2 linked regions of the Bombyx mori genome follow. The main gene of each other region encodes a partner of the protein of the gene in region 2 in a complex. Links are inferred from orthologs where the notes say so. Each region holds a gene or a part of one and is shown on either strand. Other genes may lie near its edges. The genes, in order: translation initiation factor eIF-2B subunit delta and translation initiation factor eIF-2B subunit epsilon.

What was found.
Region 1: the proteins of translation initiation factor eIF-2B subunit epsilon (region 2) and translation initiation factor eIF-2B subunit delta are in contact, whole or in part, in a cryo-EM structure (PDB 7D46), measured with the Homo sapiens proteins. The link is inferred for Bombyx mori from reciprocal best matches to the Homo sapiens genes EIF2B5 and EIF2B4. Residues at the interface, in NP_003898.2 of Homo sapiens: Arg163, Lys294, Arg339, His340, Glu357; in NP_001029288.1 of Homo sapiens: Arg357, Tyr393, Pro396, Glu397, Lys466, Arg467, Glu469.

Annotation. Positions count from the first base shown.
Region 1 is NC_085111.1:2,895,104-2,907,263, reverse strand, and holds the end of translation initiation factor eIF-2B subunit delta, read left to right. Parts: intron 1-68; coding exon 69-818; intron 819-1,139; coding exon 1,140-1,292; intron 1,293-3,216; coding exon 3,217-3,350; intron 3,351-4,456; coding exon 4,457-4,556; intron 4,557-6,208; coding exon 6,209-6,388; intron 6,389-7,057; coding exon 7,058-7,185; intron 7,186-8,118; coding exon 8,119-8,296; intron 8,297-9,495; coding exon 9,496-9,676; intron 9,677-10,268; coding exon 10,269-10,474; 3' UTR 10,475-10,848; downstream 10,849-12,160. UniProt on the Homo sapiens protein: Acts as a component of the translation initiation factor 2B (eIF2B) complex, which catalyzes the exchange of GDP for GTP on eukaryotic initiation factor 2 (eIF2) gamma subunit.
Region 2 is NC_085119.1:8,976,011-8,989,397, forward strand, and holds the start of translation initiation factor eIF-2B subunit epsilon, read right to left. Parts: upstream 7,852-13,387; 5' UTR 7,704-7,851; intron 6,999-7,703; 5' UTR 6,734-6,998; intron 6,022-6,733; exon of another isoform or gene 5,945-6,021; 5' UTR 5,929-5,944; coding exon 5,830-5,928; intron 5,760-5,829; coding exon 5,635-5,759; intron 4,867-5,634; coding exon 4,675-4,866; intron 4,316-4,674; coding exon 4,132-4,315; intron 3,977-4,131; exon of another isoform or gene 3,219-3,976; coding exon of another isoform or gene 2,925-3,218; intron 892-2,924; coding exon 647-891; intron 550-646; coding exon 430-549; intron 348-429; coding exon 43-347; intron 1-42. Other genes in the region: Bardet-Biedl syndrome 7 protein homolog, read left to right, coding at 10,122-10,223, 11,398-11,521. UniProt on the Homo sapiens protein: Acts as a component of the translation initiation factor 2B (eIF2B) complex, which catalyzes the exchange of GDP for GTP on eukaryotic initiation factor 2 (eIF2) gamma subunit.

The sequences.
Region 1 (12,160 bases), on a different chromosome or scaffold from region 2:
ATTTGCAATTTAAATAAATGAAAGAAAACACATTTGAATGGTAACTAATAAATATGTTGATATGGTAGGTAGATGCTGAAAATTATCTGGTTCAACCTGAGAAACCTTTCACTGCAACTCAAAGGAGAAGAATTAGAAGAAATAGATTAAGATTTGCCAAAACAGACTGTGTAGATATCCTTTGTACGATAAATAAAATACAAAACAAAACAAAAAATAATCCTGAACAAGGACATATAGCAGTAATTGAAAATAATAAACAAGAATACAAAGTAGAGGATGCCCTCCGCTCAGTAGTCATAAAAGATTTTGACGAAAGTATATTACAAAAGATGTCTTCTAATGAAATCCCACCAAAGTCTAGAGATGAAATTAAAGCTGCTCGACAGGCAAAAAAAGCTGCCAAACTAAAAGTAAACAACAAGACCACTGAAAATCCTCAACTGACAAAAGAAATAGAGAATCTTAATGAAAACAACATAAATTCTAAACCTAAAGTAGAAAGCACAGATGAAGTAGACAAATCTGTTGTAATAAATCCTAATGCTGTAGATATAAGTACTAGTAGAGAACAGATCAAAGCAGATAGAGCTGCCAAGAAATCTGCCAAACAGTTAAAGAAAAAAGGAGCTGCCGATGGTGAAAGTAATGTGCAAAGCTCTGTAAAAAAAGAACTTAAAGAAGATGATTCTGTGAAACAAAATGAAGATATGACTGTAAAAGATGTTGTTGAAACTTTAAAAAACATAGTTAGTGTTGCCAAGGAGGTTAATGAAATTACGACAAAAGTAAGTGCCTTGGATTTGGGAGGTAAAAAGGTAATTATGTGGATGAAATAGTCATCCTTTTTCGATATTAAACTACATTAACATTGCTTCTAAATTCCTTGAATGACATTCCCAATGAAATTGAAATTATATTTGATGTAAGCTTATTTAGAACAAGAGGCTTAAAATTTGTTTACCATACTTGAATAACAAAATACAACAATAAAATTTATAACAGATATATAAACTCCATATTATGTTGCACTATATAAACTCAGAGTAACTGTGATAATATATTGTCTTTTGAATATTCGTTTAATAGATATAGTTTCGAAAACAGTGTTGACATTACTAACAATATTGATATTGTAGCAAGAAGAGACAGGCAAGAGTAAAGCAGAACTTCGGGCTGAACGACGCGCCAAACAGGAGGCTCAGAGAGCTGCCAAACAAGCTGCCGAAAAAAAAGTAGTCAAGCCTAAACTTGAAGCTCCTACAGTAAATGTGGATGTTCCGAAGAAAGAGGTAATTTTGAGACTTTTAAATTGCCTTTAACACCTAAACTGCTTTTTAGGACACTAAATCGAATAGCGGAGATTGAACTTAATGCAATGTCCATTCTTATAGTTCACTATCCCAGACATCACATTTTGTAAGCTAAATGAGGGTAGTTTGAAATTATAGATAGATACATAATCAGGACTTTTTGGCCAAAACACCAGGAGTGAAGTTGTATGATTTGTTTTATTTTGTCTATTTAGTGTTTCTTCAGGTCTAAATGTGTAATAACGGTGGTTTATTAACTGTTTAGTATGTGTGAATGTGCACAAATGTGGGAAAATCAAACAAAGCTACTGAACGTAACTTCTCGGGATCCACTGAAAAAGTCTCATTAAATTACCACCATTTTACAGAGATTATAATAATATTTCATCCCATATCATCTCATTTCATTTCAACGCATATTATCATTTTTCATAAAAATAAGAATATAAATTAAGATAAGACTTGGCCTAAAGGTCTTAGATACCAGGTCATAAAATACACAATCAGTACCACTAGCTCATTCACATTATGTTAATAGTTGGTGAATTTTGTTTTATAGCATAAATTAGTAAACAAGCTTACAGCTCACTTGGCTGGTTGAGTGGTGATTAAAGCTGATAGAGATGGGAAAGGAATGCCACCAGTCACCTTAGGTCCTAAGGTTTAGGATGTGAGGTCAAAATAACAATTGTTTTCTAGAATGGCTGTCCACCCTTCAAACCAAAAAGCATGATTGCCTGAATAGATTCTAAATGGCCAATAGGTTCATCATGCAGCATAATATTCTCATTAATTAAAATCCATTTGTTCTTCATCTCAGGTCAGTTCCGAATTCTCTAACTGTGTTATATATACACTTCATAATTATATTTCTTAAAATACAGACGGCCTAGTGTAGACTCTATTGACAATGTTATGTTCAAGTATTATTATTGTAAATTGTGAAATTTCAATATACCTAGTCTTGCCATAAATATTGAGACCAAGGAAAAAAAAATCTATTGCAAAAAACATTTATTACTTTTACAGTGTGTTAGTTTAATACATAAATATAAAACAGTTTAAAGTATAAAAAGCTTATTCGAAGTGGTCTCCATTGGCTGCAATACAGTCCTTTAAACGTTGAGGCCAGTTATCAATAGAAGCACGCACTCTTTCCATGGGAAAAATTTTCACTGCCAATCGTACGGATTGTTTAAGGGACTCCAAATTATCATGGCGTTTAGAACAAGCCGTACTCTAAAACTGACCATAAATCATAATCCAGCGGATTAAGATCGGGACTAGACGACGGCCAGTCTTCAGCTCTGATGAAGTCCGAAACGTTCGTTTCCAACCAAGACTGCGCAGACCGAGGTTTATGACCTGGCGCCGAGTCTTGCTGGAAGGATCATTCTTGATTATTGAACATGGTGTTGTTAAGGGGCTTCACTATCTTTTGCTTTCGGACAGGATTTCTTCGAATTCTTACTGCTTTGACCACCTTTTTCGTACGAACACTACGTGGACGGCCAGATCTTTTTCTGTCACAAACAGAAGAGCTCTCATTGCACCTATTAATAGCCCGGTACACAAACATTTTACTAATACCCAAGCATATGCAGAGTTTTAAAAATTGCATTTGGCTTCATACCTACTTTGTGTAATGCAATCACAGCGATTCGGTTCTCTTTATCTCCCCACTCCATTTTAATATAGCAAAATATTGTACAATGTATTGGCGCCAAAATGAGAAATCTCAATGAGCAATCATATAAAAATGACAGATTCCAAATTAAAATGTAATATTTTGTTTATTTTTAATTGTAACAGTATTTATGGCCAGACTATTTAGATTATAAAACAACATTGCAGATACGAGCAAGGCTATCAATGTGGTGCTTACGATTTTTTTTTATTACAGGAAAAAGTTATTAAATCAAAAACCTTGGAGAAGTCGAAAACAAAGTTGCAGCTCGCACAGCGCTTCAACTGGTTTCAGCATCTTTACACTGAGTTTGACAAGAATCCTTTGAAGAAGATACCCATTAATTCCAAGTAAGTGCTGTAAGTAAATGGATATCTGTGGGATGTAAGTTCAACTGCCTCGCTACGTTTTGGCAGTGATGATCACCATATCATCATCATTGCAGTTTGCTGTTTTAATATTTCTTTATTGAAATAATAGGCAGCCGAGCCTGTGGCCTTCGCATGGTGAGTGGTTACCATCGTTCATAGATGTGAGCGACACCACGTACCACAGCGAAGCTTTTGTCTACAGCTGAGTAGGCTCCACATTTGAGCTTCGTCTTGAGTGTAGGTGAGCTCACGGGGCTCAAACTGGGACTGTTGCTAACACTGGCCCTAGCAAGGGCAGAGCTTCGCAGAATCTACCACCGGATTGGAAACGCGACCCACTGAGAAGATCCGGCGAGAAACTCAGTGGGCTGTGTCTATGGGTGAATTTACTCGTCGAGTCCTTTATTGCAAGCGTAGGGTGCGGCGAGGACGGTGACCGGTAGGCTCCATAAACCTTGTTTAATGAAAGACAAGCCATAACAGACAACAACAAGCCACAAATACTAAGTGCATATAGCAAAGGTGCTGAGTCCGAGCAGGAATCGAACTCGGACTCTGCAGCGCAACAGTCAGGGCATCTCATCACTAGGACAAACGATGCGATGGAATAAACAAAACAATCCACTTTAAATTGTTTTAGGTCAACTGATATGAATTGTCCGGTTAATTGTCATCTATTCTCTTGAAACAAGTTGCTTCTCAATAAATCGGAACGTTCGAGAACGATTGTTATATGACCATTTTATTTAGATAAAAAAATACATGTGTCCTTAAAATGGAAAAAAAAATCTTTTACATATACCTACGCAATGTGCCAGATAGATGTTTACATCGCGTGATGTTATTTGGGATCAAAATAAGTAACCGAACCATACCATATACAATAACGACCAGCCAAATATGACATTTTGGGAGGTTTGACGACAAAGGGAAAATCTTCCACCGAGCGGGCGACATTGCTCGGTAGACCGACAGCCCAAATGTTTATGTTCGGAACTTGTATAGATGCAAGCTGCCTTCGCTGTAATAAAAAAAAATTATAAATAAAAATTTAAGGTGACTTTCAAGGTATCCTTAACTTACAGCCTACACCCCGCCATCGTGAAACTTGGAGTCCAGTTGTCGTCGCGAGTGGTGAAGGGATCGAACGCCAGATGCATCGCTCTGCTGGACGCCCTCAACAAAGTATGTATCTTGATGTAATGCTAAATCGCAATTCGTGGACATTCTTGAAAATACGTTTTTGTTGAAGACTTTTTGGCGGAAACGTGAGGAGTGAAGTTGTGTGATTTGTTTTATTTTGTCTATTTAGTGTTTCTTCAGGTTTAAATGTGTAATAATGGTGGTTTATTAACTGTTTAATATCTGTGAAAGTGCACAAATGTGGGAAAATCAAACAAAGCCGCTGGATGTAACTTCTCAGGATCCTCCAAAAAGTCCACTGAAAAATCTCGGTAAATGACCACCATTTTACTGATATTATATTTCATCCCATATCATCTCATTTCATTTAATGTCATCCCAGTTGATTAATGTCTCAAATTAATCATCTTCATTTCATTTCACTCCATATTATCATTTTTCATAAAATTAAGAATATAAATTAAAATAAGACATGACTTGAAGGTCTTAGTTACTAGGTCATAAAATCCCTTAAAAAAATACGTTTTTGTAGTTTACGCCCTGTACGCATAGACATCAGAGGGTGAATGCTGTAACACACCTCCGGACGTGAGGTCCCGGTGGTAGAACTGCCGGCTCACTCATCAAACCGGACCGCACGACTGCCTCGCGACAGGGTGAATGCTGTGACCCACCTCCGGACGTGAGGTCTCGGTGGTAGAACGACCGTCTCGCTTTTCAAATCGGAACGCACGACTGCCTTATCACAGAAACAGGCAGAACAGTGGCACTTAACCCGCGGGCTTACAATCCAAAAAAACGTTCACTATTCAATTACACTATAAATTAAATGAAAGTGCAAATCAAAACTCTATTTAACACTTAGAACACTTAACGAACACTTTAAAATTCTCAATTCACTTCTTCCGCTTCGCTTCAGGTGATTCGTTCGCTATTTCGCTTAGTTCGCAAGTAGATTCGATTACTAACTGCCATCCCTGCAGCGCTTTTATAGTCGATGCAATATCCCTAGGTTTATCGAGATTATTCTGGGCGAGTCGAATATACGATGTGTATTTCCACTATCACACAATAGATGGCGTTGTATTTCTCGAGAGTTCTCAATGTTACTAGTTCCTTTGATATTCGTTTCTGCTATTCGGCGATAGATGGCGTTAATAATGCCGACGTAACAGTATGTTAATACTTTAGGTTGAATTCTAAGCATGTAACTAAAAAAATAATAGTTTAAAAAAACAAAAAATATACGCTTTTATTTCATATTTATTAAGATTTATTGTCTATTTTTTAGTGGGATTTTCTATAAAAGCGGTTTTTTTTAAGTTTTTTTAAACTATTATTTATTTTTTAGTTGGATTTAAATTTTTTCTATATTTTTTTTATTGAATTGTCATCGGTCCTTAATAACTATACCAAATTTCGTTTCGAGTTAATCCGACATTTTGAAGGGGGTCAAAATCATGTTCAAAGATTCCGTTACAAACAGACATACCTCTGAAGCTAATAAAAGCGTATCTTTATTAGGCAAGGCAAGGGGATCTAAGCCCATACAGCCTTGTCAGTTCTATCCCATCATCTACAACGTAAATGCGCCACCCACCTTGAGTATAAGTTCTAGTATAGTTACAACGGTTACTCAACCCTTTAAACCAATGACAAGAGCTACAAGAGCATCTTTGATTTATCCCGTGCAGATGGTGAGGGACTACGTTCTGCCAGCGAAGACTGAGTTCTCCCGCGGCCTGGAGTCGCACCTGGCCTCCAGCCTGGAGTTCCTGTGGACGACGCGCGAGCCCTGCGCCTCGCAGATCAACGCCGTCAAGTTCTTCCGGCACCACCTCGCGCAGCTACCCAACAACGTCGACGAGTTCGATGTGAGTACTCGGAGAACGGTATATCGGATGCAGGTAGGAGGAGGTGCACGGATTAAAACAAGCAGATTAGTGAGAGCAAAGCGATGCTTGAGCGTGGCGTGCGTGCAGTTTTGGCGCGTGCGGTTACGTAGGAATTTTCGAGAGGCAGCGGTTTGGCTCTGCCCCTGGCATTGCTGAAGTCCATGGGCGACGGTCACCACTCACCAACAGGTGGACCGTATGCTCGTCTGCCTACAAGGGCAGTTTTTTACTGGTGGTAGGACCTCTTGCGAGTCCGTGCGGGTGGGTACCACCACCCTGTCTATTTCTGTCGTGAAGCAGTAACGCGTTTCGGTTTGAAGGGTGGGGCAGCCGTTGTAACTATATTTGCATTTACGTTGTGGATGTCTATGGGCTCCAGTAACCACTTAACACCAGGTGGGCTGTGAGCTCGTCCACCCATCTAAGCAATAAAAAAAAAACTTAAATTCAAAATGTTGTTCTAACCAACAAATACTGAAGTTTTCTAAGATGATTAGATAAGCTGTTGTGAAATAGCTACTGACAAAAGCATAGCGCGCCAATTTTAATATAGCAAGTTCGAACTGTTACTTATTTTTTTCAATTATCAATTTCAACTTATTTACCAACAATTCACATACTTATAACATATCTATTTTAATTCTACAGGCCAAAAAAACCCTTCAAGAAGAGATCGATCGCTACATCAGAGAACAGATCGAAATGGCGGGAGAAGCGATCAGCATCGCCGTTAGAAACAAGATCTCCAATGGCGACACTATACTCACTTATGGATGGTCTGTATTACGGGTGTAATGGCGTTAGAATATATATAATACTAGCTGACCCGGCAGACTTCGTAGTGCCTCAATCGTTAAATAAAAGATAAATAGAAGATTTGTCTACCTTTTAAACAATCTCTGGACTTCCACAAATAATTCAAGACCAAAACTAGCTAAATTGGTCCAGCCGTTCTCGAGTTTTAGCGAGACTAACGAACAGCAACTTATTTTTATATATATATACTAGCTGACCCGGAAAATGTTGTTTTGTCATATAATTTATTTCTAGGAAAGATAAATAACCTAGGTACCGATTGCAGCGCCACCTGCGGGGCTGATTTGCCACCCAAACGAATATAAAAAAGGGTGCGTGTACTTATGTACGCGCGTAAGAAGTTATACTTTTTTTTTTTTTTTTAAATATTAAATAATTAATAATCAATATTTAACGTTAATAATTTAATAATATTTAGTATGAATTATATTAAATAATAATTTTGTCATTTATATTACTAAAAAATGAACGCTAATAACACTTTTTTACGAGTGTATATGCGCGAAAGTTCACCTGCGGCTATATTCAGACTCGCCAAGTTACGTCGGTCGTATTGTAATGAGCGATTTAGTGGGCAACTTCATTCTGTTAATTTTGTGTCACGGTGCGCGCTCATCCGAAAAATTTCACTCATCAATTTTTCATAACGTGCCTAAAGAAGTATAACTTCAAAAATATTCATTCAAATTGGTCCAGCCGTTTATGAGGAGTTCAGTGACGATGTTATTCCTTCACCGTGGAAGTTAATCGTGAACATTTGTTAAGTACGTATTTCATTAGAAAAGTTGGTACCCGCCTGCGGGATTCGAGCACCGGTGCATCGTTCGATACGAATGCACCGGACGTCTTATCCTTTAGTCCGCGACGACTACAACTCGACGTTCGTTCCCCAGCTCGTCGCTGATCGAGCAGATACTGTGCGAGGCGTGGGAGGCGGGGCTGCAGTTCCGCACGCTGGTGGTGGGCTCGCGCGTGTCCCCCGACGCCGCGGAGATGCTGCGGCGGCTGTGCGCGCGCGGCCTGCCCTGCACCTACGTAGACTTCACCGCCGTCAACTATGTCATGAAGACCGTGAGTCTTACTCCCTCATGCTCATACCAAAATACCTTTTTTTTCCTACCTAATCTGATAGATAGCCTTGAGAGGCTATATCAGCGTAACCTTGACTAGTAAGTGAGCTCACGGGGCTTAAACCGTAGTGATGCTAACACTGACCCTAGCAAGGGCAATGCTTCGCAGAATCTACCACTGGATTGGAAACGCGAGCCACTGAGAAGATCCGGCGAGAAACTCAGTGGGCTGTGTCTGTAGGTTAATTTACTGGGAGAGGGGAACGATGACCGGGCAAAATACCGAGGATGTGGTGCTTCAACGTTAAATCGGACACTATAATAATAGAGCTAAACATCCAAAAAAATACTCTCTGCCATCTGCCAAGAACGTGTTAAGAGCTTCTTCGGGCACATCATGCGGTCTCCCAGACATGAATTAGAGAAGCTCATTATTTTGGGTCGCATAGAAAGCAAGCGCGACATGGACAGAACACCAGCCAGATGGTCAAATCTGATAAATTTTTTAAGGGATTTTATGACCTGGTAACTAAGACCTTTAAGTCGTGTCTTATTTTAATTTATATTCATATTTTTATGAAAAATGATTATATGGAGTGAAATGAAATGAAGATGATTAATTGAGACATTAATCAACTGGGATAAAATAAAATGAAAAGAGATGAGGTGATATGGTATGAAATATAAACTTAGTAAAATGGTGATCATTTACTGAGATTTTTTCAGTGAAGTGTTTTGGAGGGTCACGAGAAGTTACATCCAGCGGCTTTGTTTCATTTTCCCACATTTGTGCACTTTCACAGATATTAAACAGTTAATAAACCACCGTTATTACAACATTTAAACCTGAAGAAACACTAAATAGTAATATGTTTCTATTTAAATGGTGGGGCAGTCGTTGTAACTATATTGAGATCTTAGAACTTATATCTCAAGGTGGGTGGCGCATTTACATTGTAGATGTCTATGAGTTTTTTTAATTTATTACCCTTGTAGGCAGACGAGCACACGGCCCACCTGATGGTGAGTGGTTACCGTCGCCTATAGACTTCAGCAATGCCAGGGGTAGAGCCGAGCCGCTGCCCACCGTAAGTTCCTAATAACTACTTAAAGCCAGGTGAACTGCGAGCTCGTCTACCCATCTAAGCAATAATATATATATAAGTATGTTAATATATCTGATGGTGTGTCGGTGTGCAGGTGAGCAAGGTGGTGCTGGGCGCGGGCGCGCTGCTGGCCAACGGCGCGGTGGTGAGCGCGGCGGGCACGGCGGGCGTGGCGCTGGCGGCGCGCGCTCGCAACCGCCCCGTGCTCGTCGCCTGCCACACGCACAAGTTCATCGACAGCCTCTACACCGACGCCTTCATGCACAACCAGATAGGTAGACACCGTGTCTGTGCACGCTTTTTTTTTACCTATTCTAGTAACCTCGAGGGGTTATTCTAGACTAGCGATGAGACATACTTGCAAAATTGAATACCAGTGCTTCTAAATTTAAAAATATGTACTTGAAAGTATACGTACTGCTTGAGACGCCCCGGTGTTCCAATTTGAAATTTACTTGCATAGGAATTCAACCCGTATTTCATGACGAATAAGGAACAAAATCGTATAAATAAAAAAAATACCTTGAAGTTAAAGTATTATTTTATTCTTAATAAGATGTGAATCATTTTCCTGTGCTATATTTTTTTTCTGTGAGTGTTCAAGTTTTTTGAGTTCAGCACATGACATAATAATATACTTTCATACTTCAAGTATTTTTTGCTGGTACGAGGGTATCGCCATATTATCCCCTCATGCCATCGGCTCATGTACTAAAAAAAACTTAGATAATTTTCCTTTGTGTTCACCTCGAGGTCGTAAACGCGATTAAACCGTTAATTATATTTTTATTATTTATACATATTTGTATTTACTAAATAATAATGTAGAAATTATAAGTAATAATCCTAATTTGTTTTTATTATCAGGAGACCCCGACGATCTTCTGGAAAAATCGGATGATAATTCACCACTAAAAGATTGGAGATCGAATTTAAACTTAACACCACTGAACCTGACTTATGACGTCACACCTCCGTGCCTCATCACCGCCGTCGTCACAGAACTTGCCATATTGCCTTGCACCAGCGCTCCCGTTGTACTCAGATTTAAACTCTCCGAATATGGTGTATAAAGTTCTAAATCAATCGTTTATTATTAATAGTATTTATATATTTGCCAATATTTTTATTATTGTCATCTATTACTACTTAATTATCGCATGTGAAGCAGATCTCCATAAGTAGTATCGTGTTATCACCTAGAAAGGTTAATTTTATTTTAGTAAAAAAACTAAACAAGTCAGACTTATAAAATGTCACTATATATTATTTAGCAAAAAAGAAAACTTGATGCTCAAAATATGTAATTGTGTAGTAAGCTGATATCCACCATAATGAATTAAAATTACTCACTTTGAAACAAATTTATATCTACATTTGCTTGATATAGTCTTCTTCTTATTTAGGTATAAATAAGTGAATTTTAAATATATATTTTATTAGTTAATATGTATGGTTTATTTTCGCTTGAAATATGAAGCTCGGAACTATCTTAAAATCTAAGTAAATTAAGAATCTTTTATACGACTTTATAGCGGCGTGCACGTGAGCAGTGCACCTAAATATAAATTTATTGGACAGATTCTTCAATATTTTTTTTCCTTGCTGTTCTAGTAACCTCGGGGGGTTATTCTAGATTCGCCGAGCTTGTAGGTGAGCTCACGGGGCTCAAACCTGACGACGTTGCTAACACGAACCCTAGCAAAAGCAGTGCTTCGCAGAATCTACCACCGGATCGGAAACGCGACCCACTCAGAACATCCGGCGAGAAACTCAGTGGGCTGTGTCTGAGGGTTAATTTACTCGCCGAGCCCTTCGTCGCAAGTGACGGGTTCGATGAGAATGATAAGCGGTGCTTGTGGTACCAAAAAGCACCGTTAGTGGATCGGGAGGATCCGGATTACGTGTTTTGGGCGACGTCGACTGTTTACCATTTGGTCCGCAGAATCGCCTATGTAGTTCCCGGCGGCCACGATGTGAGGATTCTCGTGTCGTACCGCTTTATCGAAGTGGATTCTTCTAATGGGAAACAATATTCATTTTTGAAGTCGTTGTGGCCTAACGGATAAGACGTCCGGTGCATTCGTGTTGAGCGATGCACCGGGGTTCGAATCTCAGGCGGGTACCAATTTTTCTAATGAAATACGTACTCAACAAATGTTTAATACACAATAAAATGGTGCATGCATTTTCAATGCAAAAGTTCAAACGGGTCATTTGACCCGTTAGGGTTTGTTTGGTGCTAAAACATCACTAGGTTAATGCGAGCTAATGCACCAATATTTCGATATGAGGACTTCGATAATCTGACAGATATGTAAGTTGAAAATTATAGAACCGGTAATCTCTTTATTGAAAAAGAATAACAAATTTATTTACAACTACTATTTAATAATAATAATTACAAAAGTTTTAAAGGTATTTGGGAGCTCTAAGTAAAAAGGAATTCAGTATATATTTTAAACCTACTACTATATTGTAGTTTTCTGGAATTTTGCGTCATTTTAGCGATTGCTTTGATAGTAGTAAGTAAATGAAGCAGACAGAAAACTCCAGAATGGTTTTCCAATTGGGCTGAATTGATTCTAGTTCTAGGTAGATTCTAATTCAATACACTGTGATATTACAGAATTGAAATTCCAATGTGTATATTTTATTAGAGTAAGTATGCAAGGGAGATGAATACCCACATAACCCTGAACCCTTAGTCTTGTATACTCACACTGAATATACTACCTGGTAGTAGTGACTACTAACAT
Region 2 (13,387 bases):
CAAATAAGGAGGTATCAATACAATTAAAATAAAGAGATTTACCATTGTCAATAGAACATTCTATTCTGCCTTTGAGATCACTTCCTGATTCCACTTTGACATTTTCTGCAATTATTGTGCCAGCATGTAGATTTGATCCTTCACTAATAACACAATTGTCATCAATAAAACTGTTTGAAATTCTACAGTTGTCCTTTATTATTACATTATTCATTATGTGTGATCCATTGATTATGACATTATTTCCAATTGTACATTTCTTTCCGATAATTGATTTTGTCACCGTGGTGTTGTCTTGTACTTGCGTTTTCGCTCCAATTAATGTATTTTCGGTTAATACACATGATCTATAAATAGATTAGATGTGGTCAATGTTATGAAATTTAATTACAAAAATATATTTCACAAAAGACAATTCTCCTACCATACCTGCTCAACATAGCTGAGTTTTCAACAAAATTAAGATTTCCCGTAAGAGTATACTTGTCACGGGAATACAAACCCGATTCAATTGACAGTGGATACACCCACTTATGTAATATGTCTCTACTGTAACAAAAAATAGACATTTTTAGTGTCAATCTAATTTATTTTATATCTGAAATTTTATATAATGATTAATTAATTATTATTTTCAGATACATACCAAACTGTTTGATAAGTTTTCCAATTTGTTATAGCAGCAGCATATTGATTTGATTTCAATAATGTATAATATAATGAGCTGGCAAGAATTTCCTCATTAATTAATATGCCATGAATGAAGTCATCCCTAGTTTGAAAATCAAAATTATCCGAGAACAATGGTGGGACTGTTGGTGAGCAGAGTGCAATGTTAGTATCAACCAGATTGTGATGTAATTTAACTTCAGAATTATTTAATACCAAATCCTGAAAAAAAAAGAATACATTAAATACAAGAAAAAAGATCTGACTGCAACAAAATAAAATTAATTTCATAAATGTAGATAAGTGAATTAAATATGTTGCTCTAACAGAAATATTACCAATCACTTGATTAGTTCATTAAATTAAGAATTAGATTAAACAGGACCATGTGAGATGCACCAAATATCAAATAACAAAATATCCTTAAAATCATTTCTTAAAGAAAAAAATATGAGGTAGCACACATGAAAAATACAGTCTTATTAATAACCTCCTTTTTTAAGTTAGTTAATATAACAGATTAACGATAATAGGGCCTATTATGACCGAGCATGGAAGGGCACCATACCATAATTCAAAAGATACATACATACAATACTTTACTGACACAATAATGGAAGAACATATTATCATATAAGCAAAAAAACTGAAATCTGCATCATTGTAATGATTTATAAAAAGATCAGCATGTACATATGTGTGCTACAAATGTGTGTTAATTTATTTACTTTTTTTTTTGCAACCTCATGTACCTAGTTTCAATAGTGGACAGACTCGTTGACAAGATTCCAGTGGTTCACAAGCATACCATACTTTTAGTATATTTTTAGTTGGGGGCAAAGTAATATCAACACTGGGTTTAGGGACTCCTGTATCTATCTCTTCGAACATGCGTCAATTTGACGCATGAATGAATATATTTATGGATGAAATAAATGAAATTTAAATTAATACTGTTACTGTTTCAGTAGTGGCATGAAATTAACAGGCCTTTGTGTGACTCAGTGCTAAAGATTAACTTTCACGAATATGCCTAACTAAAAACAATTTAATAAAATTATTGAACAACCTTCACATTATTTTGTACATAGAAGGTACTAACAGTGTCTTGAGGTTTGGCTGTATATGTGATTTTTGTTATTTTTTCATAATAATAAAATCCCAGGTGTTATTTTTTTTGTTATTTCAATGGCCTTATCTACTATACTGCGGATCATCATGTTTTATATAGAGAATATTTGGATTTTGTTAAATCTTATAAAATGGTTGGCACCATTGTCCAGAGAATGTTGACAAATCACAGTTTTTTTATATTAAATTATTTTTGACATGGTCCATAACTCTAACTAAATGTCTCTTAGTCTGTCCTATAAATGAGAGCTCACCATCACAATCCAGTTTATGGACATGAGAACTCTGCAGAGGTGTGCTTCACTTAATAGACCTTAGGATCTTGCTCAGTTCATGTGGTCTAATTACAAAGCTATCATAGAGATACCACAATGTTATTAAACTAATTCCCTTAATATACATCATATAATGTAGGAACCCCAGGGTATAGCCCACCATGGTTGGTTTTAGTTTGAGGCAACAAAATTGGCCTGAAGAACTTCAGGCAATTCTTTTTTAAAACTTGCTTTACAGGTTAAAGTGAATCCAAATAACTAAAAAAAAACATCTGTGATCATGACAACTAATATACTTGAAACATCAGAAATAATAAAATAAATATTGTAAGCTCAACTTCATATCTAATGCCGGCCACTGACATGCGCGCAAATATTCGTACATTGTACGAATGTTTTAGTAGGAGAGCTGGCACCAATTTTTGGGTAGGTATTTGAGGCAAGCTGAAAACTTGTCACATACCTCTCCTATTATATTCCAACACCGAATTGCAGACCTGGCTGGTGAGTAGCGGGGCTAAATCAGCTCTCGGACTATTTGCGCTAGAGATGGCGTTAATGGTTGAATTTATTTATCTGTTAACTGGTAATTGATAAAAAAAATTACCGATATTTTTATTGGTTGAAAATACCGGTAAATCTTTTCGTTGAAAAACTAATTTTGCTAATGTTAAACTTGAATGGTAGAGTTTCTTACATTTATTTTCGATTCAGTGAACTTTAGAAGCTACAGGCTTAGGGCTAATTAGCTTAACTAATTAGTACGAAATGATTAGTGGGAAAAACTCTTTACAAATTTTCCACCACGGCGGTGCGCTGGTTCAATATTTTTGAATTGATTTTTCTTACAATAATTACACATTGCAATTTTTTCCGCTCCCAAGCACTTTCCGAAATGATCCCATATTTCTGCATTGCGTTTCGGCATTTTAAATTAGATATACACTTTAAAAATCCACAACAACAAAGTAAGCAAAGTCTCAAACACACAAAAACAAAGTCAAAACACACAAACACAAAGTACAAATCTCTTAAAATACAAAAACACAACTTTACCAAAATAATAGAAAAGATGCACTGAGCCGCCAAAATGTCAAGTACCAAACAAAATATTACGTTTAAAAAATCAACCAATCGCGTCATCTTCGCGTTCGGTAAAAATATCGTTTCATTTCAATTTTTTAACGAAAAAAATTATCATTAACTGTAAAATACACCAACTTAAATATTGTGCTTTATTTTGAGGGGTATAGAGCATACAATGAAATCATAAAATTCAATATTTTTTACATGATAAGTTGAAAACATCTGCAAGGCGAAAATGAATCTTACGTGTTGAAATAAAGTTGAAACTTGTATAAATATAATTTCCAATAATTGCCTATGCCACTACACGCAGTGTTTTTGTAAAACGGTATTTTTAACCGTTTTGGGTAATTTTATTTATCGAATAGAAGTGTTAATTTTTTTTACCGGTAAATTTATTGGTTAATGGTTATATTAGCCACCTCTAATTTGCGCGCATGTGAAGGGCCGTCAAACATTCATTCGCAAACCTAGCGGCTGTGCAAATGGGTTCGCATACTCAATTTGCGAACCCGTTTCGCTTCCTCCTACATTTGTTTACGAATGTCTCACGAATTTCTCCTCCTTTTTAATTCGTCAATAGAACATTGAAGAGAAAAAGAGTTTTGAATTCTTTCCCAGACATCATTAACAGCCATGCTGTTTTTATGGGATTTCTTTTGATGAAGATACGCTACACAGTAGACGTCACGAACTATGAAAATGGCGATACGTCCGTTACCTTCGCAATCGTCGGCGCAACTGGTCAAACGACTACGCGAAGGTTCGCGGTTCGCGCGCTTTGATGTCTGTTAAAAAACCGACACAGCTTGGAAAACCATGAATGTAGCGAAAACTTTGCATAATCATTTGCAAATGTCGTCCTACACTTGCGGGTTTGCGTATTCGTGCGCATGTGAGTGACCGGTGTAAGACTACAGGAAACCAAAGAAAAAACGTCTAATAAGAGTACTTGTAAAAGGTTACATACCAAAGGAAGAGATATTATCTTCTCCTTGGACTTAGGTCTATATCTCTTGTGCACTAACACTTTCTTTGTATTCTCGTTAGCGGCCAAAAAAGTTGACCTGTCTGAGCTTATCAATGGGTGTTCCCAAGAAAGTTTCTTATAAACCAAAGTCATCGCTGTCCCTTTGTCTTTTTTACATGTTTGTCTATGGTAAAAAGAATAAAAGAGGTTTATACTTTGATAATCTGCTATTAAAAGCTATGAGTTATAATGAATTTCAAGTTTTTGGTAGAGATTGAGAGACAATAAATAATCTGCCTCTTTTTCCATGAAAAAGCAGTGATTTTAAACATATATGGCTATTATGAAAAGTATCATATCTGTCAAAGTAATTGAGTAAAATATTATAATTGGTGAATTTTGAACAAAATTTAATTTAGCTTTTCATTGATTGACGGTATTTATGATATGCTTTTAAAGATCAATAAATTTATTAATTCATATGCAAATTCCATCTGTCAGCATGTTCTATAATTTAGAAAAATATGTGAAGCTTGTACAAACTTATGTTGTTCCAGAAGACTTGCAAAATTCATATTAGTAATGCTATTGATACCAGCTAGCACAAAATATCCTTTCAGCAAAGCAGCAGCATCTAACTCTCTCATCACATCACCCATGGTCTGACAAGTATCTGACATCAAAATCTGGATATCCATAGTAAGACTCCACAGAGACTTGTTATCTTGATGTTTCCTGAAGTATAGATAAATTTTAGTATCTGATTACAGAAAATATAGGTAGATGGGTGGGAAGATAGAAATCTTAGTCAGCTACGAATCTATATAAAAAATAAGTTCATGATAACAATGATTTGACCACTCAAAGCACAAGTTTTTATTAAGCTTAATAAGTTGACTGTCTAAGCTATTTTAGGTTAAACTCCACATTCAGCAAGCCCTTTTTTTTTAAAACACTTCAGATATTAGCTTCATATCTGCAATCCTGAATTATATGTAACATATAACATAATATGTAGTATATATGTTATTACATATAATACAGGAACACCACTGCCAGATTGAATATACACTACATAAAATGGATTGACAGTCAATGTATGTAATAATGATGCTTAATTTTTAAGCAAAAATGTAGTCATACACAGGATGAAACACCCTGTGTACTCTTACCAAAAGATTCACTTTGCCAATGTTCAAATCAGACAGACAAGTACCAATGTTACTATAGAAATATGTCTAAACACATGTTTACGAATAACTACGACAATGACAGAATAACATCTTGTAAAAAAATGAAACCACCAAAGATGTATAAATTTGCCTGTGTTAAAGCATACTGTAAGCCCAAATGGGATAATGGTACACAAAACTCTCGCTTCTATCTTTATGTGACGAGATTAAATTGTACATAACTGGAACTTCGTCCTCATAACTCAATACGGGCGGCATCATTGACATTATGAGTTCTTTTAATTATCTAGTACTATTAAAAAAAACTTACTGTACATGTTCTTTTATTTTTTGTCCATTTTGACAACAAAACAGAATTGCCTCTCCCACTCCGCCCAAAGCAAGAGATTCTAGAACATAATCTATTAGAGGCACGCCTGCAACTTCAAGAAAACCCTGTAATATGTCCCATTCAGTTATTATTTTGGTTTCAGATAAATATACAAATTTCAAACAGGTTACATACCATTGGTTTATTGTCTGTTAATGGAGAAAAATTACTGTTAAAAGTGTCCATAATAACAACAGCTTGTACGATATTTTCTTTATCCATTTCCATTTTCATCAATTCCTAGTTCCTACTTTTTAGAAAATAGAAAATAGGTTATTGCTACATAGAAAGTTAGTAATAGTAGTTTTATTTTTTCAAATAGAAAGGCAAATGTATCATACCATACAGCCTTATCTATTATATTATATTTTTTTTATGAAATATGATATTATGAAATGAAAAGAAAATGATTAATTTGAGACATTAATCAACTAGGATGAAATTAAATGAAATGATATGGGATGAATTAATCTCAGTAAAATGGTGGTAATTTACTGAGATTTTTTCAGTGGACTGTTTGAAGGATCCCGAGAAGTTAAGTCCAGCGGCTTTGTTTCATTTTTGCACATTTGTACACTTTCATAGATATTAAACAGTCAATAAACCAACGTTATTACACATTTAAACCTGAAGAAATATTATATAGACATAATAAAACAAATCATTTTATTATTTTTAATAGGCAATTATAATAATTAGGTACTTACTGAGTAATAAAGTACGTATTGCATACGTAAAATGCGTACGTATGGATATGAAAAATTTTGGATGGATGATTAACTTTGGAACATATGATATTGGATTTGTCTTGGAATGCACGGCTTTCTTTAAAATTATTTATAGCTTGTAAACATATCTTTTTTTTCCATACCTATTCGCTGATAATTTAAATGGCTATTCCAGCTTAAACAAATCTCCATTTACTAAACAATATATGCATGTAATCTAGAAAGTACTAGAAAATGAATTTAATCGGAAACGAATCAATGTGATATGAGATGAATTAAATAGTATCCGTGTAAAACGAAAGCTTACTGACACTTTATTTTTGAACTTTTTTACATTGAGCCCAAGAATGAGCATTTTCATAAATGCTGCTCACAAAAGTTCGCTATCTACTTTATTCATTAGCTATAATAGAATTTGTAGCATTGAAAAGGCATTATGATTAATAAGCTAGGGCAATATCGTTCCCGCTTGTGAACTTGTTCCCCAAAATCATTCTGTAGGACCTTTAGTTCTGTGTATTCAGTCCAATCGTACAGACAGTATAGAATTACAACTCGCCACGGGGAACTATTACGCTGAGAACAGAATTAAATAATTTTATTAAAACTGTGTTTTCCTCATAACTAATTCACTTAATAATTAAAGTTATCTCTCCGATCTGTATCGGAGACATAGCTAATATTCTACTATCGATATCTCAAACTCCCTTATTTTCTTAGAATGTGACGGGTGTAATTGCTCGGTATAGGGTCGAGGGTTATTTTAATGTTGGTTTATGTTGTTTGGAGCTTGTTTAAATTACAAAGTTATCTTGACATCATCGTTAGCGAGATTCAGGCATCTGTCAAATATCTTGTGATCCATGATTGCTACCGTCACATAATATATTTTTCTATTCTTATAGTAATTCACATAGCCAACCTTCCAAGACTACCTTCTAGGTATCACAGTTTTACAATCCATACAGTTAGGAAATGGAGACACTTGCGTCGATACACGCAAACAGTTTTTTGTTCCTACCTATGCTGATAGGCTATATCAGCGTTACCCTAGCGTGTAGGATAAAAAACGGTTTTTCTCGATTTCCGGCAAAACTAAAAGTCTTATGGAAAAAAGTCACAAAGTTGTAGGTAATAAAAAGATCTAAAACTTTTGTATTTACACTTTTTTCACATATCCTCAAAATTTATGTGAAAAATTCAAAAAACCAAGTTTTTGGTTTTTTATTTTTATCTTTTTAAAAAAAAAATCTTTTTTCACGAAATTTGGTGAAAACTTACCTTTTCATGTCCCAAATACGCTGTAATTTATTTCATTACAAATATGAATCTTTTCACCTTATTTTGAATTAATGTCGAAAAAGCACCCTAATTTTCAATCGAAAATTCACCCGTCAAAATATCAGCTATTTTCAAAAAGTTCGAAATCGCTACATACTTTCCGAAGGTGAAAAAAATCTATCTTACTATAGTAAATCTTCTCAGACAATGCAAAAAATCGAAAAAACTCGAATTCGATTTTTTTATTTTATTATTATATACAATTTATAATTTTAAAATTTACACTTTAATAACTCGAAAAACATAAGACTACATGTTACATTGATAAAAAAAAATTGCAAATCAAAATATACTACTATACCTAGTCAGGTCATAAATTCTGTCACATGTTTAATGTAAAATAATTGAAACAAGTTTATTCATTATGTAACCATTCATATACCAAAATGAACTTAACAAAACATAGATTCTTATGACACTAAAGTTTATTCAAAATGACCTCCGTGATTTTGAATACAGGCCTTCAATCTGCGCGGCCAGTCGTCTATCGCAGCACGAACGAGGTCCATGTCAATATCGGCGGCTACCTTAATCAAGGATGTCTTGTGAGTGCCTCCAAATTGGGATGAGGCTTTGAGCACGCCTTTTCCTCCAAGTGTTGCCATATCTTGTAATCTAACGGATTCAAATCTGGACTGGAGGAGGGCCAGTCTTCGTGCCGGATGAAGTCGATTTCACGCGCCGCCAGCCAGTCTTGTGTGCTCTTCGCTCTATGAGCTGGCGCCGAATCTTGTTGGAATACCCAGTGCCTGTTATTGAACATGGTATGAGAAACAGGTTCCACAAGGTTCGTCAGGACTGTATTTTGATACACAACTGCATTCGTTTTTACACCTTTCTCACAAAAATGTACCTCTGTTAAGCTCCAATAAGAAACTCCCAACCATACCATGAGCGAGGATGGAAAATGACCTCGCTGGACACGCGGAATACGGTTGCTCGCTTCTTCACTACTGTGTGCGTATACCTTATCATTTTGTTTGTTGTAGCTCTCTTCTACGCTAAAAATTTTTACATCCGAAAACGAATTTCCCAAATATTTTTTTCCCGCGTACCGCTTCAACAAAGCGCGGCATCTCTTCAGTCTCAGGTCCATTAGACGAGCATTCAAACGATGTCCTGTTTTTCTTCGATATGCCCGAAGCCCTAAGTCTTCATTTAACACCCTTTTCACCGTGGTTCTGCTTAACCCCATCTGAAGGGCCACCAGTTTCTGCTTACGTTTGGGATTTCTTTGAATTCGCGCCTTCACAGCTTTTATCACTGCTGGAGTCCTAACAGACCGAGGGCGACCACTTCTTGACCTGTCATCTACACTAGAGTCTTCATTGTATCGTTTGATGGTACGATAAACGAATCTTTTGATTATATTCAAATTTTTCAGTATGTTAAAAATTTTAATTGGCGCGTAACCGCAACGATGCAACGCAATAACTGCAACACGGTCTTCTTTAAGCGTCCACTCCATATTTAAAAATGAGTAAAATTCTAAAAGTATACATTTTTATTTTCATGAACAATTCGAAATTCGAATTCAATAAACTTTTTTGTGGCCAGCATTCTAAAAGAAAAGTTTTTACTGTGTGACAATACTTATGACCTGACTAGGTAATTAACAAACAAATAAGTTCATAAAATTAATATTTAATAAGACATCTACAATATTTGGAGAAAATTGTCGAATCTTTTTTAATTTTTATGCGTAGATGCCTATTTATAACTATTTTTAGATAACTTATATACCTGAGTGACCTACGAAAAATTTTAACCCATCAAAGGTATTTGAAATATATGAAATATAATGGAAATATACATGAAAATCGGCCAAAAGTTAGTTATTATAAATATAAATTATTTTTCCTTTCATTTTTATAATATTCCCCTCTTTTTCTAATGGGTTCCATACTATTATTATTTTTTTTGGTTTTAAAAATTGTCGACCCTGGTCTATAAAGACAAGACGCCAATAGCATCCGGATCGACAAATGCAACGGCAATGTTTTACGACTTTTACGTTGTCCTTACGTACCCGTGCGAACATTGACGAAAACGTTGAAAGACGAGCATAAGGCTCACCTAATAAAGGATTACAACCAAGTCAAAAGAAAAGTATCCCAGAGGTCTCTCTATTCGCACACTGTTGTTCAGTGCACAGAAGTCTTCAACAAGAAGCTTTCTGTTGACCTCAAAAAATGAATACTAAGCACACAGGAGTTTTATTGATTTCTTGTTCAAGTTTGAGGTCTGTTGTTTTACGTTTGGTTGCCTAGGCTTTATCGATTTCCTTCTATGTTAAAGATTTTATGTCAGCAGAGTGAAAAAGACGTTGCCGGTATTATTATCATATATTATAGAGTTATGGATTACGACTTGTGCAGAATTGACTACTTTATAAGCGGAATCACATATCCTGACACTCTAAAAATTTTACCATCTCAAGGACAGAAACTGGAACAGAAGGTACCTACCTATCACAAATTGCTTTAACGCTTAACGTTTTTAAGTATACAACTTAAAACTTGAGACAATAATAATTAATAATGTGAATCGCATTTAATATAATATCAACCAATTCTATTATTAGAATATTGTTAGATTCATTCATATAATTAAAAAACAATCAAATATCTATCGATGGGGAATGTTCACTCATAAATATCTCACTTCCCAATTATAATTTTTATTAAACACAAATATGTACATTAAATACAAAGAACAAACGATATAAATATTGGTTTTATGAAAAACTACAAAGCGTCAAACCGGCAGAACCTGTACACCCGACAAAATTACATTATACAAAAGTAAAATTACAAAATTACAAAATATTCGAACTTATTTTTGAAAACCTGTTATTACCCGAAGGATTTTTCGGGCTTACCAGGACGAGGAGTTAGGAAATCTGTTCTCGTTTTCCTTTAGAGGAGGAGATTTTTATCGGATAATAGTCACCATTCCTAGAAAGTACCCACAAATAAAAGCGAAAGACGGTGAAATATGAGGATCTAGAGAAAACTATTTTAATAACTTGTTCAAAAAGGTTTTTGGGACCTTCGTCGTAAACAAAAAAGCAACAATTATCATGCTTTATTTCATGTAAACCGAAGTCATTACATTGGTAATGACTTCGGACTTCGGACTTTAGGCTATTGAGCCTAAAGTAAACGGAATACAATATTTATTTACTAAACTAAAAGTGAATTTAAGCATTAATTGTAAATAAGCAGGTATTAACTTACAACTTCTACTAGTTCTTAGTATTACGTAGGTATTTCGTGAACTTGTAAATTAGCGAAAACTCAACAGACTGTCCTCTGACGTCCATAGACGATATATATATCGTCTAAGGGAATCGCAGAATCGACAGTCAGACACAGTCAAACACAGTAGGACAGTCAGACACAGTTGGTATATACCTACCAAGTGTTAGGTAATTCATTTTAAATCTTGTCAAAATGTATGCAATGCAAAAACACATTGTTATACCTTTTATTTAAGATATTAAGTTCACAATTTCCGAGACAGACAGTCAAATTAATATATAACAAAATAAAAACGATTTTACAAACGATTTGATCTTATCTACAGTTCTGAAAATTAACTTCATAATTCTACTGATATGCTTTCTTTAAAGGTCGTAGTTGGGGATAAAACCGGAGTTCTGCAATGTTTGACCATAAGAGACGAAGAACCAGTCATTCAATTTAAGACATTGCCAGGCAAACCAATTACCGCCGTACAATTGACTTCTACAAACGGTAATAGCACCTACATTTTATTTAGGCCGAGTCTCCTACTGGACCCCGCACTGAAGGGTTGCTCGGCGTAGTTTCGATCCATATCTTCAGCGATATTTTCAAATGCACACATAATTAAAATCAACCCGTCATAACTTTCCCAAAAAAAAATTGTCATTGACGGAGTTGATGTCGGTTTTTTGAGTTAGATAGGAAGTCGCCAGCGTTCCGCTTACGCGTTGAAGGTGATAGATAGTGGCACGTTAGAGTAAAACCGACTTAAACCCATGTTGCTTAAATTGCTGCTGCCTGCAGACCCCCGTCTGAGGCGTCGCAGGGTGGCAGTAAGGCAAGTTACGCGTAGTGTATATCTGTCTACCCCCTTGCCTCCACGGGACGTCGAAACACCATGTCTATCCGTCGGCAGGGTATTCGAAGCCTGCATATATGGCGCCACCAACCCGTACTCCCGGGATACCCACTGAAATAAAATCCACCCTGCGGGGTGAGAATACAAATCACTTCCAATCGATTGACCTTTACCTCACCATAAACATTTATCTCAACAAAAACAGGATATTATTAAGTTAGTAGGGGAGACCGGGGCAAGATGAGATAGCTAAGACAAAACTCGCTGTACAAAGACAATTATACTCTTTAATTAAATTCTTTACGAAAACAAGTAACGCTTATACATTTGTCTCTTAAAATTAATAATTTTATCATGCAAAATCATAGATTTTTTTTGACAAATAATGATTAACGATACCTAATGAGGCGAATTTCCCGTCTTGCCCCATGGATGGGGTCAGATAGGAAATGCTACGGGGCAAAAGGAGTACGTATTTTAATCGGGCAGAAAGCGTTCACAAATGTGTGCCTCGTCGTCTTCTTCATCTACTCCGGCACAGGAATCGTGTGCAAATACTACAGATAGCCCAACCCTCGGTTGACTCTTAGTATAAGTAACCACAATAGACGCAGGCGCAGTCACCGTCCTCCTCTTAAGATGAACTAAGTATATTCCGATTCGATTTCTTTGGCGAGTCTTTTAGCTTGACGCTTGTATTCAGTCCTTTTTATTTTCTTATTTCTAAATTTATGTATTCGTTTTTTATCTTTTTTAGTCTTCTGTCCATCAGTCTTCATCCGCTTCCGTTCATCCAAAAGTTCATCTCGCATCTGCTTCCGAGCGTATATTGTACATGGGTGGGACATACGTTCCATGGCTATGCTATGCATAGCTCTTGTGGCTGATGTCGGTTCTGGGCCAATCTTCTCCTGCCATGCCAGTTTCTTCATTAAGTGGGCTATCTATATGATTGCCAACGCTGAGCTAACTGATAAGCTATTACACGAAGTTATTTTCCTGTTAACCGTGCTTCCATAGATTCACACATTGCGCCAACTCATCTTCTTGTTTTGCTGTAAAAACAGCTTTGAATCGTCACAAATTCTTTTTCCCATACTTAGTCGTTACCGGAATCAGTCTCGTCATCCATAGTATCGCAAGCTTTTCTTACACGGCGGCGGAACATTATATATAGCAGAGGCTCGAGGAAGCCCCATCCTGGTATTAAGAACCCATAAGACCCAGAACTTCAGGGTCCCATTTGCCACGATCTGTTTTTCGTTTATAGTTGCGAACCATTGTATCTGAGAAAAAAACTTTATGAGAAAAGCAACGATATATCTTGCTAATCTAGAAGTTACAACAATATGTACTTATACTTTTTTTTATACCACTAAGTCGGCAAAGAAGCTTACAGTTCGCCCGATGGAAAGCGGTTACCGTAGCCTATGGACGGTTGCAAAACCAGGTTGCAATACTATCGATAGGTAAGTAGGTACACAGAAGGTATTATTTAAACGACGAGGAAGGGGCAA